Linked DNA regions of Drosophila melanogaster. The protein of the gene in region 2 purifies or fractionates together with the protein of the main gene of each other region. This does not show direct contact. Each region holds a gene or a part of one and is shown on either strand. Other genes may lie near its edges.

Region 1 (5,616 bases), on a different chromosome or scaffold from region 2:
TGCTCCCAGAACACTGCCCAGCTAGAGAAGTTCGTGTACAGCAGCATTGAGCCAGAGGGTTTGAGGGATCAGGAAAGGATCACGGTGCTGAGTCCGGTCTACTCCCGCGGCGAGGTGGGTCTGCTGGTCGCCATTGAGTTCCTGCAGAAGAACTGGGAAAAGTATGGTCAGCTAAATTCCGGCTTTGGTGGCGTAAATCCTCTGTACAGCGACATTGTGGGTATTTCCGCCTATACCGTCAACGACAAGCAGAAGGATGCCTTGCAAGAGTTGGTGGACACTGTCAAGGGTTCTGAGTATGTGCCCAGCACTCTGCAGGATAGCGTGGATAGCAACGTGAATGCCAACTACGCGTGGCTGGCTTCCAACAGGGATCCCCTGATGACCTGGGTCGCCGGATTCCGCAGCGGCAGCTCCGCCCTGAACGCCTCCATTTTGGCAATCCTTGCCTGCCTTCTGGCCGCCAAGCTATTCTAAAACGTAGATCCTAAGTTAGTTATAGATTTCCATTGTGCGCCCAATAAATTCCATTAATTTCCTAAAACTATTGTTTGCTTTTGCTGGGAATTTACAATTCCCTTCATAGGTTTATGGTCGTGAATTGCCAGATCGAAGTGGTCAGATAAGCGTGAGTATTTCATAAATTTCCTCTTTTGAAAAGTAAAAAACTCTGTTCTTACGACCACAGTTGAGCCATAAATACATGGGTAATCAGCCTTGGCAACTAATTTCATAAGTGTGAACGAAATCATGTTAGCCTTTAGTTTCACAAATGGTCGAATATAAATATAATAAAAGGAATTAAACAAAGACTGAAATTTCTTGAGGGGTTTTTATGACTTTAATAACTTGGTGGATACAGTTTTATAATCGGCGGTTTTTGCAAATTTAACAAACTACTGGGGGCGGTGTGCAGATATATTTTCTTGTTTATCATTCATATGCTTGACAAATGTGTTTTTTCAATAGCTTTGATACTCTATTGTGCCGTAAATAAGCGTTTGCCGTCAATTTTTGATTTGCTTTGGCCACTAATCAATCAATAATACTCATTAAATGCTTCATAGCAGGAAGAAGTTCCTTTAAGAGTACAATACACTTAACATAATGTGGTTCATATGTTGATAAGCCATTTTGCGATAGCGTTAGTTAATCCAAACGAATACAAGGTAAAATGTACGGACCGACAATTCTTTGGATGCTCATATAAAAAATTCAGACAAACCTATTCATGTTTGTTTCATTATTTACGAAGTATCTTGTAATCAACCAACATTAGCAACAACTTGGCAGTTAAAAGCTTTCCCCTTTGGAAGACTGCAAATCACGCTCGATAAGATTGGGTGCAATGCACCATAAAGTCTCAAAGAAGCAGTGCAACGGACAGCAAATGTTATGCCATCGTCTGGCAATCTTCAAAAAAATATTGTCAGCTTGGATTGGTAGCCAATGGCGGAGTGTGTAAATCACGACCCCTTATCGCTATCGCAGCTTAATCTATAGACCAGGCGAACTTTATCTGGGCCGAAATAAAACGTTAAAGTTTGCAGATAAGCCGCTGATACTAGCAAAGTCGCAAAATGGTTTACATTCACCATATATACCGGGCCCAAAGCCAAAACTCACTTAGTTTTCGAATCGAATCGCTGGCCGAGTGGCGTGCGAAATACTAATTCTAGTCCGAGGTTCGCGATCGAACCCTTGAAAAGTGAGTTTAATAAGTGCTTATATAAATGGGGATTTTTCAAGTAAAATTGGAACAATCCTTATAAAAGTGAAAAAAAAAACTTTAAATTACTAGACACGTACTAGCGATGCGATTAATTAAGTTTTTAATTTGTATCCCTTTTGATATTTCATTAGTAGGAAGAATGTTTGCCCCGCGAGTGGCTGTTCTCCTGGTGGCCTGTGTGTCCTTGGCCTCGGCAGGAACTCGGCAACTGTCTGTGGATGTCCAGCCGCCGGCGACGCTCGCCACCGAGCTAAATGAATACCGCCTGGCCGAGCACATCACGCCGGTTAACTACAACATTACGCTGCGTCCCTATTTGCTGGAGACCGATGGCAACAAGAGGTTCACCTTCGATGGCGAGGTTTGGATCGAGGTGATTTCCAACCAGACCACCAACGACATCTATCTGCACTCGAAAAACCTCACATATTCGGTCAGGGAATACTGGCAAAAGCCAACCACCGAAGTGGCCAATCCTACGGTCATCCAAATTAGTGCCACCAATACAACGAACTATGATACGGATATTGTAAAGCTGACGGCGTCAACTGCTTTGACCGCCAATACGACATATATACTGCATTTCGTGTACACCGGTCTGATGGAGGACGATATGCACGGTTTCTATCGCAGCTCCTATGTGGACGATAACAATGTTACCAAGTGGCTGGGATCCACCCAATTCCAAACCCATCACGCTCGTCGCGCCTTCCCCAGCTTTGATGAGCCCCAGTTCAAGGCCACCTTCGATGTCACGCTGAAGCGACACAGGACCTTCAACTCGGTCAGTAACACCCGTCTGATCTCATCGTATCCCAGCACTGAAGAGTAAGAACTTCCACCACTTTATTGTTAATCTGTAAGCCTTCCATTGGTTAAGAAATTCAACTATCTAGTGAGAATTTAATCGATTAACGAGAAAGTTGTTATTTCTTGATCTGAATATTATGTTTTATTTCACCCAATTATTAGAGGTATTTTCTCGGACGTGTACAAGACGACGCCCAAAATGTCCACCTATCTGCTGGCTTTCATAATTTCCGAGTTCGTGGCCCGTAAGGATGACGATTTCGGAGTTTACGCACGTCCCGAGTACTATGCTCAGACCCAGTACCCCTACAATGTGGGTATCCAGATTTTGGAGGAGATGGGCCAGTACCTGGATAAGGACTACTACTCTATGGGCAACGACAAGATGGATATGGCCGCCATTCCGGATTTCTCGGCCGGAGCAATGGAGAACTGGGGTCTGTTGACCTACAGGGAGCGTTCCCTGCTGGTGGACGAGTCGGCTACTACCTTGGCCTCCCGCCAGTCCATTGCCGCCGTGGTGGCTCACGAACAGGCGCACATGTGGTTCGGCGATCTGGTCACCTGCAAGTGGTGGAGCTACACCTGGCTTAACGAGGGATTCGCTCGCTATTTCCAATACTTCGGCACCGCCATGGTCGAGGACAAATGGGAGCTGGAGAAGCAGTTTGTGGTTGACCAGGTGCAGTCGGTCATGGCCATGGACTCGACCAATGCCACCAATCCGCTGAGCGATGAGAACACCTACACGCCCGCCCATCTGAGCCGCATGTTTAACAGCATCTCCTACAACAAGGGAGCCACCTTCATCCGTATGATCAAGCACACCATGGGCGAGCAACAATTCCAGAAGTCCCTGCAGGAATACCTGAAGAAATAGTGAGTAGTGGGGAAATTAAATATGTGACTTGTATTTCAAGGGTTTTTCTTGCTTACAGCGAGTATCAGTCGTCTTTGCCTGAATATCTCTTGGGAGCCTGGCAAGCCAATTGGCCCAACTCCAGTTACAATGAAAGCTCCAAAGATATATTCAAGAGCTTCACCGAGCAGGTGGGCTATCCACTGATCAATGTAACTGTTGGCAACAGTCAGGTCAGCTTCACGCAGAAGCGTTTCCTGCTGAAGGAGAGCGATGGATCCGACTCATCTTTGAAATATACTGTGCCCATTTCCTACACTACCAGTGAGACAAATAACTTTTTGAACACCACGCCAAAGTTTATTCTGAAACCCAACGTAACTACGACGGTTCAATTCAACTCAACAATAAAATGGATTGTGGTCAATATTCAGCAGACCGGATATTACCGTGTCACCTACTCCGACGACAATTGGCATGCCATCCACCACGCTCTGATCACAGCCAACTGGGGAGGAATTCACGAGAACAATCGCGCCCAGATCGTGGATGATCTGTTCAATCTGGCCAGGGCTGGATATGTTACCTACAACCTTACCTTGGATGTGATCGAGTATTTGCAGACGGAGACCAACTACATCCCCTGGACATCCGCCTTCAACGGCTTCAACTACTTGACTATCCGCCTCGGAAACGACACGGCCGATTTCAATTACTATATCCAGACCCTGACCAACAAGGCCTACAATCAGCTGGGCTTCAATGAAGCATCGAATGATACAGCCTTGGACATTTACCTACGCACTAAGATCCTCTCCTGGGCCTGTCGCTATGGCAGCTCCGATTGCATCAGCCAGGCCCAGGGCTACTTCCAATCGTTGGCCACCGTGCCCAAGAACATACGCGCCACTGTCTACTGCGTGGGTCTGCGTGAAGGTGGTGAGGCCGAGTTCCAGGCTCTTTACAACAAGTTCAAGAACGAGACCGTGGCCACCGAGGAGACCCTGCTGCAGAACTCATTCGGTTGCGTCAAGACCCAGTCTCTAATCGAGAAGGTGTTCGATCTGATCATCAGCGATGAGATTCGACGACAGGACAAGTCATCCGTGCTGGCCACTCTCTACACGGAGAACAACGAGAATGTCAGTCCGGTGTTTGCACTGGTCACTCAGAAATACGAGGAATTGGCTGAGGCGTAAGTATATCCTATTATTTGGTTTGGCTTGCATTTTATAATTCACTTCTTTCTGCAGCATGGGCGGCTACTCCGCTGTGGCCACGGTGATTTCCAATATCGCCGCCCGTTTCACCACAAATCAGCAGTTAACTGATCTGGAGAACTTCAACAAGGCTAATGGCGCCAAGTTCGGCAGCTCGCAGGCCACTTTGACCGCCGCCGAGGCAACCGTTAAGGAGAACTTGGAGTGGGCTACGGCCAAGCTGGGCGTTTTCCGCAGCTATCTGGCCAACTATCGTAGTGGAAGCGCCATGGTCAACGCCTTCAGCGCCATCAGCCTTTTGATGGTGGCCCTGGTCACCATGCTGCGTAACTAAGCAGGGATTAGCTCCTACTGGAGTCAGGTGCGATCGAGTCACGAGTGCTCCTTAGGCCATAAAGTATTTGTACGCAAGAGCACCCAATAAAGTAACACCTTTTTGTAGATAAGCCGCTGTTTTAGTTTATTATTACTCGTGCTAGCAAAATCGATCATGAAATGGGCTTAAATGACACCCATGGCGACAATTAATTTACAATCTGATTAGCGACAATATTGCCGGGTGATTCAGTTCGGGATCTTGAGGGGATTTTATAAAACTACGGTTCAATCGATCACTATTTGGCCATAAATTTGTTGAAGGGCAATAAACGATTTTTTTTTAAGTTTTACCGAAATTTCCGGCGAAAAGGTGTTTTATTTATTTTTTATTAGATTGTATTAGCCATTAATTTAAGTCTGGCGCGTAATAAATCAAACCATATTAAGCCATTAGGGTTTTTTTTTTTAATTTGTGTGCTTTAATTTTGATGCAATTAAAAAAAAAGACAAGGAATATCGCTGAAACTTAAACTGACCGACATAAGTAATAAATTACTATCTTTATTGCTAGCTCTTTTACAATATTGTCTTGCAGATATCGATCTTACCACCTATTCTGGCTAACTAAGTTGATTCACTTTTCGTGGAACCCAATCGAAAACATAATCCTTATCGCA
Region 2 (3,386 bases):
ATTCTATTAAGGTCAAGTGATATTTGTGATGTAATCCCACTTACATAAACTTTTTTGAGCTAGCATTTAAGCTCATGCTTCTCGAATTCCCCACATGAATTGCTTTTCTTAAATGGACCAGACTCTCCCACTCCACACCTGATGTCCTCTAAATGGAGCCGATGATGAGCGTGATCCGCCAAAGGCAAGTTACTGCCCATACGACCCGACCCGACCTCTTTCTTTAAACAGGTAATTGCAATTGCGACATCATTATCATATGCTAAACGGAACTGATTGCTATTGAAACGGTTTTGAGGTTTGAATTTCTTTTGAGCTGAAACATATTTCTAATTAAATTAATTAAGCGAAGCGAGAATATGGCAAGTATGCAAGCCAATTAGTGGAAAACGCAAAATTAAATGTCTGTGCATTGAGGAGACTGCAGCGGTGTGGAGTGGATGGGTGTAAAAATAGCTGGGAAAAATGGCAACCAGAAGAGTGCGGGATCGCTCCGCCAACCCATTGTCCTTGTCCATGGAGCACTTTGTTGGCCACTCCGGCTATAATTGCGTTGAGACATGTAAGCTTTTGTTTTGCAGTTAGGCGTGTGGCTGTGCGACAAAGTTAATGACAGCATAATTAAACAAAACTAACAGCAGACTAATAAAATGTTCATAGTGCATGTCGCTCAAGGCCTCGGCACATCACCACGCCATCACAACCCCATCACCTCGCCACCCACAATGCCAGCTACTTTCCATATCTCCAAATGTATATACATTTATACAATACATATACCTGGCGAGCATTTCATGTCGTTGTGTGTCAACGTTTGTCAAGCGACAATTAAAGTCATAATAAAGGCATGCTAAAGACAATTATTATGTGCACGTCCTGCCACGCCCCCCAAAAAGAACCACCCAGTTCGTTCGGTTAGTTATGCATAAAGTTCGCCACAAAAGGGTTTAACCTGAGCGTAAACATGCGCTCCTTTGTCTCGCAGGCATATAAATTTCAAAATTAAAGCAGAGTTTAACCTTTGTCCTTGTGCAAATGGCAGGGTGGGTCTATAACCACCTGCCTGCGATTGTGTGAGACCCGCATAAAGAGCCTTCGGTTTTAATGCACGCGAAATTGACTTATTTGATTTATTTTCATAGTTTAAGCCAAGGGCTTTTATTATAAGCATGCTTTAAGTGAGTGGATTTGAGAGGGGATTTTAAGAAAATGCAAGGCAAAAGTTATATTTATATTCGCGTTGTTAATTATTTATTGAGTACTGTATTTTGCGGTGATTAAAAAAATAACGTTGTGTTTGAATAAAGAAAATCATTGTCCTCATAACACTGAGAATGCATAAAATAATTTTTTTTTTAATTGCCCCCAAGTACAGTAAAACAAATGTGCACAGAGCTTTCTTCGAAAAGTTATCCAACCAGCATGCATTCCACTATTCGCTCATTATGGAAAGCGGCTGATTAAATATTAACTAATTTAATAAAATGCCGGCCTGCTTCAATATTGAAATAGTCAGCGAATGTATTTGCCCAAGCGCACGTAGCCGAGATATATAAAAGGTGGTCCAGGGTGCAGAATGATTAGGCTATCCGTTGACCGACGATGCATTCGACCAAGTCAGCCGTTCTCCTGCTCGCCCTGGCCATCAGCGCCAGCTGCGTTGTTGCCACACCGCATCCGGAATTCTTGGATGAAATCTTCGGCTCCATAAACCAAACTGGCCAGCACATCATCAGTGGATTCGTGAATGCCACCAGGAATGGCACGGCCATTGCTGGTGAGTTCCTGGACAGCATAAGGAACTCCTCCGCCCAGTACACGCACGAAACCCTGGAGTTTGCCCAAAAAATCGCAGATGCAGTTCATAGAGCCGCCACTGAGTCAATCGTCGACTTTTCCGCGACTCTGAGGGCGCAGATCGACGCACTGCATCAGGGGATTGATCGGGTGAGAAACATCCTGCAGCGAGAGGCACTTAAGGATGCTCTCGCCAGACTGCAGACCGTCAATACCGTCGTAAATGATCTGGAAGTGGCCGTGAATAACCTCAATGATCGGATAGACGAGAAGAAACAAGAGTATTTCGCCATAATCCAGAAGAAGTGGTACCAATGGTCTGACGCCCAATTGGAACGAGTGGATAAGCTGACGAATGGAGTTGGCAACGAGGAAGCCGAGGAGATCATAAATGAGCTACTCTCCCGGTATTCCGGATATCTGCACAGCTGCCTGGAGGAGTTGCAAGCGCAGCAAGCCACGTTTGAGCAAAATGTCCAAGAGGCCATCGAAAAGTACCACAATGCCACCAACGAACTGACGGACCAAGTCGAGCTCTGCGTCCAGTTCAACCTCAGCTTCCTGTCCTGCCGCAATGGCATCAATGAGGCACTACGCGGACTCGACTCGGCTCCCGCGGAGCTGCTCACCCTGAAGCTTCAAGGCATCCGACTACTGGCCATCGGCCTGAATGCCAGCGGATGTGTGGGCCAGACCCTGGCCGAGCACGAGCTGGAGAAGCCCAGCGTGGAGCGCAAGCTGGATGAGATCATTGCGGAGTACCAGGAGCAGCAGACTTCCACCGATGACGACTCTAGCTCTAATAATGAAACGACCACCATAAGTTCGTAGGATTTCGGGGAGTCATCCAGTAATGAATATGACAACTCCAGCAATGACGACGAATCCTCATGGAAATATTTACAAGAACGTATAGTGTATTTTAGGTGTCGGGTAGAAGCAGCAAAATAAATTACTCTAATGCAACTAAATTAGAAATTGTTTTCCTTCATCGTTTATCAATGATGTTTCTTAATAAACTATGCCAAGCTTCTCAAAATATTTCTTAACTTTGAACAGTACTTTAAAAATTACTCTACCGCAAACGTATTACCCAGATACCGATTAACTTCATCAATGGTGCAGCACATTTTTTGCGGATGCTAAAGCAATTATTTTAAAATTGTCATATTCATTTATTTAGGTAAGGCACGAAAGTCGTGGCAATTTAAAGACACGAGGCTTTAGTAGATTAATTATTTAAATGCATTCGATTCTGCCTTTATATGTAAATTAAATAAGGGTGCTAAATAATATAGAAAAAGGGAAAAAGAAACTAACTTGCACTCTTAGCACCTCCCCTACTAACAAATGATGCAAATGAACTGAGTGAATTCCCCTTAAAGGACTTCCCCAGCTGCTATAAATATAAATAGTTGTATAACAACAGTAACGAAAGGTATAACACTGAATTAACAATCTCAACTGCTATAAAAATGAACTTTTGTGCTTTTGTATAACAGTCAATTGAAGAGGACACGAAGCGCGTAGTACAGCGTTTATAAAGTTTTATGCTGTTATATTTTTCAATGAAAATGTGTTATTTCATA
Region 3 (4,247 bases), 590 kb from region 2:
TCTCCTTTGTGCGCGTTTTGCGGTCCACTCATTGTTCACACGTTCCATTTACATGGCCATTGGCGAGTATTTCCTCTGCAGCATTAAAATGTCAAATTACCCACACTGCCACAGCATTCAATCAATGCACCCATATCAAGGCTTAAAACGCCGCTCAGCCTGGCCAAAAAGCTGAGAAAAAAAAACCGAAGCAAACAAGAATACGGAGCCAAACACAAATCCGAGATCAAAAGTTCAGTCACGAAGCCACACAGAATCAAGCAGACTATGCGGCGCATGTTTCTTCTGCAGCCAAGCAATTTACATTCAATATGCAACTGCAACTGCAACTGGATTTGTAACCTGAAATTTTCGGAAATGTGTGGCTAATGTGAATTTAACTTATGGCTGTGGAACACTTTGCCCGTTGTGTCTAATTTGATTATGTGACTGAAGTGCTCGCGGTCAGTTATTTATTAATGGCTCAAGGCTTTGGGGCAAAAATTTCCCAACACTAAGGACTAGTCAAAATTATGCATTAGAAAAGTATTTGTGATCTCTTTTTTAATGTATATATTTTTTAATAATTATGAAGGTTTCGTTACCAGCCAAAAATTACTCATTTATTTATGGTCCATAAATTTTAAACTCTTTATGTTCATTTTTAACTTTGTTAATATTTAATTTTTAATTGAATAATTATTATGTTTATAATTAATGTTCTTTTCGAATGTGTTGATTTCCAAAGATTTATGTAAAATGGTAAGAAATACAAGTAGTTTATTTTATTTGTCGTGTTCATTAATGTAATTTTACCTGGGAAACAAACACTAACACTTCATGTATTTATGTGAGATTTTTACAAAAAATATATTAATAAGATATATTTGTACAAAGGGAAAATGATAATATAATAATGGCTACATATAACAATACTAACTGCGCAAAAAGACGTCGGAGGAAGGGCTCCGATCTAAAATTACATAAACTTTCTAAGGACTTTTAAAGCTGTTTACTAAAATTTTAACAATACAAAATTTATCACTTTTCGAATATTCTAGAAACAAACTCTGAGACTCTAAAACTCTAAAGTCGTTGATTAAAATTCATACGTATATGATTAAAAAAGTCTATATTGTTTGAACTGTACAATTAAGAGCGATTCTCCAAAAGAATTGATTGGATCTCTTTGGTAGATTAAGGCAAAATTAAACGAAATTACCCATTTGCTATGTTTGTTATGTTGGCTATTGGCAAGAAACGATTCTTTCTACTAAACTGTGCCCCCAGTTACTTGGTGTCTGAATACTTTCAGTAGTTCCCAAAGATCGCTACAGTTGGAGCTCGAGTGTTCACAGATACGCACTCATACAGGCGCAGATCACACGGACAACATGGACACTGTCCGTGTGAGGCACCCTCTTTCGAAAAAGCTCGCTTGCTGACGCATTTCCTTTGGGCCACGGGCTCACACGGACAGTTGGCCAAGAGAGAGAGGAGCTGTCGAACGGATGGAGAGCGAGCTTTTTCAACACGGCTGCTGCGATCTCGATTCACGTCGACTGCGCAGCCGCGGCTGAAGACAATCCCGCCACAGCATCGGCCATATAAAAGCTCGCTGCGTCTGTGCGAAATTATTCAGTTAACTGTTGCGGGTTGGTTGAGACATACAAGCCCATCTTGATCGCAAAGTGTTGAGGAGCTAACCTAGTGCAAAATGAAATCCATGGTATGTTCGGTCTGAGCTCAGTGTGTTCTCCTTCGAAGTGCTGCTTAGAATAATTGTGTTTCAAAAACTCGGATTCAGTTAAAGTGACTTGCAAAAGAATATATATATATATATTTATGGAACAATGTAGACATATCGGTGTTGCAATTAAAGTATTTTTAAAAAGGTTTTTGCACGACTTCATCAGCTCTTTCAAAAGCAAGGATAGAACGGATATTCTAAAATGTCTCTAGATATGTTACTTTTTTGTGGCATTTTGGTTTACCCAAGTAAATATGAACATGGTTTTAAGAAAGGATTTTTAGAGAGAAAACTAATTGAAATATTTAATTTTTCCATTACCAGTTCTACATTTAAATCTTATTGAAAGAAATCACATTTCATAATTACTAAAATCGAAAAGTGTTAAGGATCATTTTAACCCGAAAAGGATAGGCAGTCCTAGAATATGTTTTTAGCATTTAAAAAAGAAAACAAAAATGTAGATTCGTATTAAAAAGCTTTGAACGCGAAACTACAAAGAGTTGAATTTGCCTTCTTCCAATTTGTATTTTAACCGAATTATTGCGAAAATATCAAGCCACATTAAGTATACGCCGCATGCCCAATATGTCAGGGGGCCTAGGCCACAATTGAACTTGGCTGGTTGCCCAGCCAACTTTCCACCCAACATTGCATAATTGTCATATTCCAAATTATGGAGTAATCGGGCGGAGGTGGAGCCGGAAGCGGCTGCAGTTGCATAACCGCCCGACCAAGCCAATTGGGTTTCTATCGAATTTAACCCACTTGTCATTGCAGCTCATTTTCGGCCTTGTGGCGATGTGCGTGCTGGTGGCCAACGCCAGTGAGGAGGCACCCAAGAAGGCCGTCGAGACCGCCGAGCCCGCCGAGAAGAAGCAGGAGAAGCGCGGCATTGGCCACGGTCTGGGCTACGGATACGGACCATCGGCGGGAGGCGCCATTCTGGGATCCGGCATCGGTGTTGGAGTTCCAGTGGCTCCCGCTGTCGCTGAGCTGCCCACCCAGGTGCACACCAACACCGTGGTGAGGACCGTGCAGGTGCCCTACCAGGTGGAGCGTCACGTTCCCTACCCCGTCGAGAAGACCGTCACCTATCCCGTTAAGGTGCCCGTGCCCCAGCCCTACCCCGTGGAGAAGATCGTCCATGTGCCCGTCAAGCAGATCGTGAAGGTGCCCGTCGAGGTGCCCCAGCCCTACCCCGTCGAGAAGGTGATCCGTGTGCCCGTGAAGATCCCAGTTGATCGTCCCTACACCGTCCATGTCGACAAGCCATACCCCGTGCCCGTGGAGAAGCCCGTGCCATACACCGTCGAGAAGCGTGTGATCCACAAGGTGCCCGTCCATGTGGAGCGTCCAGTGCCCTACAAGGTGGCCGTGCCCGTGCCTGTCCACGTTGAGAGCCACGTCAAGCCCGCCGTGGCCGTCACCCACACCGTTGCCGCTGCTCCTGCCATCATCAGCCACGGCTACTCCGGACACGGAATCTCCGGATACGGAATTTCCGGACACGGAATCTCCTCCTACGGCAGCTCCTCCTACGGCGGCTCCGCCCACGGTGGCTACCTCCACAAAAAGTAGATGAAATCGCAATGCTGTCGAGGGCCAAGCGAGAAGTGAAGTCGGGTGAAGGCGAGCGAACCAACCAACAAGTCGAAAGTATCCAACAGACATTAAGAATCAAGCACCCCTCCCTCTCTTTCCACGCCCAGCAACCGCCAACGTACGACTTACAAATTTAGTTTTAGTTTGTGATACCAACCGAAATTCTGGAAGGATCGGAACCAGGAGAAAATCACACAACTGACGCAATCCATTATAGAAAGCTTGCCAAAACCCATCCGGGGCGTTTGAAAAGTGCCTGTCTCCTGGCATCCAAATCCATCGAGTGTACAGTTCTTTTGTAGACAATCACAGAGAAATAACTGCTGACGAGTTGCTCCTTCGACTTTTTCACGTAAATTTCTTTTCTATGAAATATTTGTACATATTTAAATAATGTAAATAAAACGAAAATTAAAAAAAAAAAACTTAAGACTTGTACTTTCAGAAATACTGGGCTTTCCATTAAAAAAAAAAAAGATAGAAGTTCGATAGGATATTTTTAAGGTATATAGGGTATTTTCACTTAATGAGCCTTTTGTTTAAGCTGAAAGCTTAATTTGTATTGCTGCATTGCTATTTTGGAATAAATACATTTTTTTACAGAAGTTATATATCTGTCAAGTTAAAACGTAGCCATAAAGGACTACATATTATATATTTACATATTATATATTTATATATAATATATATATATATTATATATTTATGGATATTTATTAATTTTTATGAGGGGGTGTGGAGTTACTCTTAAGTGGATTAATACAGCTTATTTTAGTCAAAGGATATTCCCACAACTATGCAATGATTTATTTATTTATTATAAATTTTGGGAATTATTCTGAATTGCATTACAGTGCGTCAAGTAATTGTTCGCAAACAATGTTTTTAAAACTGTAAATTTAGTGAGTAGGCC
Region 4 (5,052 bases), on a different chromosome or scaffold from region 2:
ATTTTTTTAATCATAGTGTATAGTTTTTCTCGCTGTGTACGATTGATTGACGGATCACAAAAGGTTGTTGGCTTTTTGCCTGTCAATTTACGGAGTCTGTTGCACAAATCTCCGCAGGTTGTGCGATGGCAAGAAATTACAGATGCCATTATTAGCATTGGAAATGAATTGAGTTGCCCGCAGAGTCATGATCCACGGCTTGCTTTTCGAAAATGATGTCAGGATATAGGAGTATTAAGCCAAAAAAAAAAGAACAATACGCGATGCAGCTGAAGTATCACACGGATCACCATTCACTCGGAATTGTGCGAATTGAGGAATTCGAGGCTGCAGAATATGCTAATTTTCACCAGCCGGCAGGCAATTGTCTCTGATACACATGGTATAATACGTATACGCCCCCTTGCATCTTCCGCGGATGATGTAATGCTGACTCAATTAGGGAGCGCACATCGCACAAAGCCACCGCACATCGGAGTCAACAAAATTGCATGACTACCACCTTATGAGCGCCGGAAAAAAAGCAACCAGAAGATCTGCAGACAATGGTTGGTATATACATATGTACCATATGAGTTCATATATCTCCGACTTCCAACAGCCAATCGGACACGCCCCATTGCACAGATGTGAATATCTCGGCATTCTGAAGCCGATGAAGCGATGATCGCGGGGGCACAAGCCATAACATAACAGTTCTCATACTTCGCTAATGAGTCGCATAAATTTCACTACTTTGTAGATCGAGTCGAAAGCACACAGAAAAAAAAAACTAATGCGCAATACAGCAGCTTAAAAAGGAATTAATCTAAACATTATTTGATATAAGAAACGTGGATCATTTCTTATGCTAAACAGTAACAATTTGTGTTGTCAGATAAATTCAGATTCAGATCATTCAGATAAATATCCCTGTTTGTCACTCCATTATATGTTTGTTTACTTCAGAGCAGAGATGCTTTTAAATTTTGGAATTCGAAACTGAAAGCTTACATTTGAAACACGTTCTTCGGGCTTTTTAAGGTCATAACTTTCACAATAAACACAAAGTTATACGTGACAAGTGCGCCCCAGAAACACCCAAAAACTCAAAGTGAATCCCAGACATGGAAGAAATACTACCCATAACACCCGCGGTGGGATGAAATTGACAATGGTCGACTATACGTGCCTGCAATTTATGATATACACAAAGGGAAAATTCAAATAAAAACAATAAATAAAAGGAAGATGCGTTGACAAAGAAATGATTGCCACAATTTGCATGTTTGGGGTTAACGGAATGCGAAATAAATTTACTATTAATCAATGGGTTGCATCACTTTCAACACAAATAAACTATAAAATCGGAGAGGAAACTTCGGCCTTGACTTGCTTAATTTAATGCTATAGATTTCATGATATACACTTTATAAATAACTTCAATATTGGAAAATAGGAAACTCGAAACCATGCGATATTTACAAATATTTATGTAAGCTTTATCAACAGTTCATTGAAATATAAATAAATAAATATTTTATAAATAGAAGATCAATGAAATTGTTTATATTTCAGCATGTAGATCAATGAACTTCAAGGTGTTAAATTGTATAATTTACACACCGCCAAAGGTGTCAAGTGCCTTATCAATTCTGCCAACAACAGCCGTTAATTTACATTATTAGCACAAAAATCCAATTAAAAAGCCCTCCACTTTCGAAGGTTCTTTCCCACCGTTTGGAAATAAAAAAATTTCTATTTCGCCCAAGAAGAACGAAAAAGAAATCAGTGTCAATGAAAATGAAAAAAAGGTTTGACCACCGAGCTTTGACTGAACTTTCAAGAACAAAACAAACCCAGGAAACACAGCGAGAAACGGGTAGGGGAAGCTACTATGACAACAAGTTTCTTGGCAGTCAATGATGTCGACCCATTTTGTTGCGGCTTTTTGAAGAAAGTATTTTCTCAGCGGCCATTGAGTATTTGCCGCATTGAAGATGTAAACACGACGCATTTGCTGGCCAACAACCACAGATACACAGCAAAAAAAATCATAAGCAAATGATTACCAACAAAATCGAAGATACAAATTGAAGATCTAATGAAGAAGTAAAATGTCTAATTGCCGTAATTGTATTTATATATACAATTTATAATATTGATAATATTGATAATTAAAAAAACTGTGATATTAATTTTTCTTATAATCAGATTGGTAACAATTGTTGATAAATGTCAAAGAATGCAACTACGAACAGAATCTACTTCTCGTTGATAAGAGACATACCAATATAATCTGATAATGGGCTACGATAGATATAATTCTTTTCTTTTTTTTTTTGCTGTGCATCGATTGTGGCCGATTTAAGGCCAAGAACTTGCGCGGCAAGTGAACTATGTATGCATTTGGCTCCAAGCCTGTTTGCAGCGGTCCCAAAGGGGTGTGGGAAAGAAGGAGGGGAGGGGAAGGGAGCGGTGCAACCTGTTTGATTCAGCCATGTGGAGTTCTCTTGGCCAGCCTGCGATGGCCCGTTGTTTATCGAAACGAATACCCGTTGAAAGTCAAAGTTGGCATAGAATCCGGTGGTCACATTTCAGCGAATATTAAAAATAGTGATCGCCTCAATGCGCCCAATTAAAACTAGAATTTTGATCGCATAACGGCGATGCGGTGACAATGGTCATTTTGTATTGGCGTGGAGCTTTTGGAGCGGACTCAACGGTATCTGATTGATATGGGCCACTTATTATCTATTATTCCCGTCACATTTCGCACTATGCCTTTTACTTGATTTACAGTTGAAATCACAGCTTTTCGTGTCTCGTTTTTCGTTTTTCTTTTGTCTACGAATGGCATTAATTGTAACTTTGCCGGGTCCGAGGAATATTCACTCGGCTAATTTGATAACGGCAATTGCCGGACAGCTATCATTCTTGATTCAAATCGTAGGCGCGCACTCGAGAAATCCGAGAAAACGAAGAAAAGCGAAAAGAAAGGGGAATCGCGAGAATCGTAATTGAGATCGTATTTGCAGACGGAGTCCGCTCTTTTCTATCGCGACCGTCGCGCTCTGCTCTGAACTTCCGACTGAAGCGGGCTCCAAAGTTGTCACGGCACTCGAGCTTCTCCGGAAAGCTCTCTCATCAGCTGAGACCGGCTTTTTTATGGCCCCAACATGCGATGATCTCCAATGCATTGGGGGTATTCACAAGTGTGCTTGCAATCGTACTAGTTGCGGACAGTGCACTAGATACGATCTTAGCTACATAAATAGTACGATATAATAAAGATACCTGACATCTTAGTCTAGACATGCTAACAAAATGTTTGTCATCGCAAGATATACCTTAAAATTACTCACCTATCTACTCCATCGGCATTCGTGTAGTTGCTGATGTAGCTGCCCACCAGACTGCTCAGATCGCAGTCGAAACTTGCGGACAGTGTGTAGGCCTTGTTCATACTGAGGACCTCTCTTAGCGTGATCAGGAGCAGCTCCCGGGACTCATCCAAGTTGATGCTATCGATGGCCACGCGTATGCGCGCCATCATGTTCAGGATGCTGATGCTGTGCACATTGAGCTCCTTGGCGTGCAGGACGATCAGGTTGGTGATCGCGTTCAGCTGGAACTGAATGGACACGGTTCCCTCACAGGCGCCGGTCGTCAAGTCGGGATGGTAGTACACCTTGTACTTGATGGGCGTCAGTTCCGTGGGCAGGCGCCATTCGATCTGCGGGGTCGTAAAGTTTATTTAATATCCACGCCATCGATAATGGGCTTTGGCCCTATTAAGTGAGCAATGCGTTGATAAGGTGGCGATAGGAAATAGCACTGTTGTGGTCAGGTCGTAAACCAAGTGGACGTCGTTGCAACAAATATGCCTTAGCTGGATATAGTGGCTAAATGTTGTGAAATTAGGGTCCTAATTTATTAGGTGCAATTTCAGATATCAAACAACAATAGCTCTACTACACAAATATTGAAACCTAAGCGTATTTTGGTTTCTTATCCGTTTGCCTTTATTGCTTTATTGCTTTAACCATTTTTGGAAATAGATATGGATTTGAAAGCCATCTTTTTGAATGTTTGCCAGCACCCTAATTCTTATGAATTTCTTTCCGAAATGGTGGACAACAAGTGGCTTTGAATGTATTCCTCCAGAACATCCAACATCCTTTTGGCTTCGTCCAACTGCAGCAATAAATTATCCCTGTGGACGGCCACAATGACAAGGGCAACGATCAAGCAGGTCGATAATAGACCAAAGAATATAGCCACGCGCTCAGCGGTGATCAAGTCTATGAAAATATACATGAATCGGTATCGGTGTTTTCCCAAAACTTCCTTCGTTATCAATAAATACCCTTAATCCTGTCCTGCATGTGTCCCATTTTTGTGGCTCCTAACACTGCGTTAGCCGCAATTAAACTAACTTAAAAGACCCAAGAAATTAGACCCGTTTTGTATTATGATAAAAAAGAGGAAAAAAAACGCTAGCCAAGCGATAAGCACTTGAAATGACCAGTAAGACTAAGTTGGAACTTAATAAATTCGAAATTAGTAGCCATGCCGACTTTACGTCTAATCGCTGAAAATTTTCCCACTCTGTGTGAGGGTTTTTCTGAACTAACATCTTTTATAGCCGTGAAATATATTTTTCTTGCACTTCACTCACCTTTTCAGGATCAGGAAGTCCTGTCGGCAATGTCGGATAGATGGGATTGGTGGTGCTTCCTGTACTGGATGATGGCGAAGTTTCACCACCCGGAGATGTTCCTGCACTGGGGGTTGTGTCACCTCCTACGCCAGGTGTGGTGGTAGAGCCAGGCTCGGTGTCATCCGTGGGCCCATTGGGATTTGCAGTGGTGGTGGTCGTGGAAGTGCTGGTAGAGGTGGAGGACGTGGACGTGGTGTCCACCGTCAATGCGTCGATCTTATCGAGGGCATCCTGCAGATCGTTCTCCAGGTCCGCATTCTGAACGGCCAGCACAATCGTGGCCACACAAAAAGCAGTAGAGGCCAGGCCCAAAAAGATGGCCACTGACTTAACCGTCAGCCCTAAAATGA

The links.
Region 1: the proteins of CG16826 (region 2) and CG31198 purify together in Drosophila melanogaster (affinity purification with mass spectrometry, with the first as the bait; one large-scale study listed by BioGRID). This does not show direct contact.
Region 3: the proteins of CG16826 (region 2) and Vajk2 purify together in Drosophila melanogaster (affinity purification with mass spectrometry, with the first as the bait; one large-scale study listed by BioGRID). This does not show direct contact.
Region 4: the proteins of CG16826 (region 2) and CG32473 purify together in Drosophila melanogaster (affinity purification with mass spectrometry, with the first as the bait; one large-scale study listed by BioGRID). This does not show direct contact.

The regions. Positions count from the first base shown.
Region 1 is NT_033777.3:21,752,698-21,758,313, forward strand, and holds CG31198 (uncharacterized protein), read left to right. Parts: upstream 1-1,626; 5' UTR 1,627-1,708; intron 1,709-1,863; 5' UTR 1,864-1,871; coding exon 1,872-2,560; intron 2,561-2,704; coding exon 2,705-3,421; intron 3,422-3,480; coding exon 3,481-4,596; intron 4,597-4,654; coding exon 4,655-4,955; 3' UTR 4,956-5,061; downstream 5,062-5,616. Other genes in the region: CG31233 (uncharacterized protein), read left to right, coding at 1-477.
Region 2 is NT_033779.5:13,346,195-13,349,580, forward strand, and holds CG16826 (uncharacterized protein), read left to right. Parts: upstream 1-1,578; 5' UTR 1,579-1,602; coding exon 1,603-2,628; 3' UTR 2,629-2,826; downstream 2,827-3,386.
Region 3 is NT_033779.5:13,932,059-13,936,305, reverse strand, and holds Vajk2 (Vajk2), read left to right. Parts: upstream 1-1,613; 5' UTR 1,614-1,696; coding exon 1,697-1,708; intron 1,709-2,509; coding exon 2,510-3,310; 3' UTR 3,311-3,747; downstream 3,748-4,247.
Region 4 is NT_033777.3:13,302,789-13,307,840, reverse strand, and holds the start of CG32473 (uncharacterized protein), read right to left. Parts: upstream 3,078-5,052; 5' UTR 2,771-3,077; intron 1-2,770. Other genes in the region: CG43208 (uncharacterized protein), read right to left, coding at 4,090-4,283, 4,349-4,376.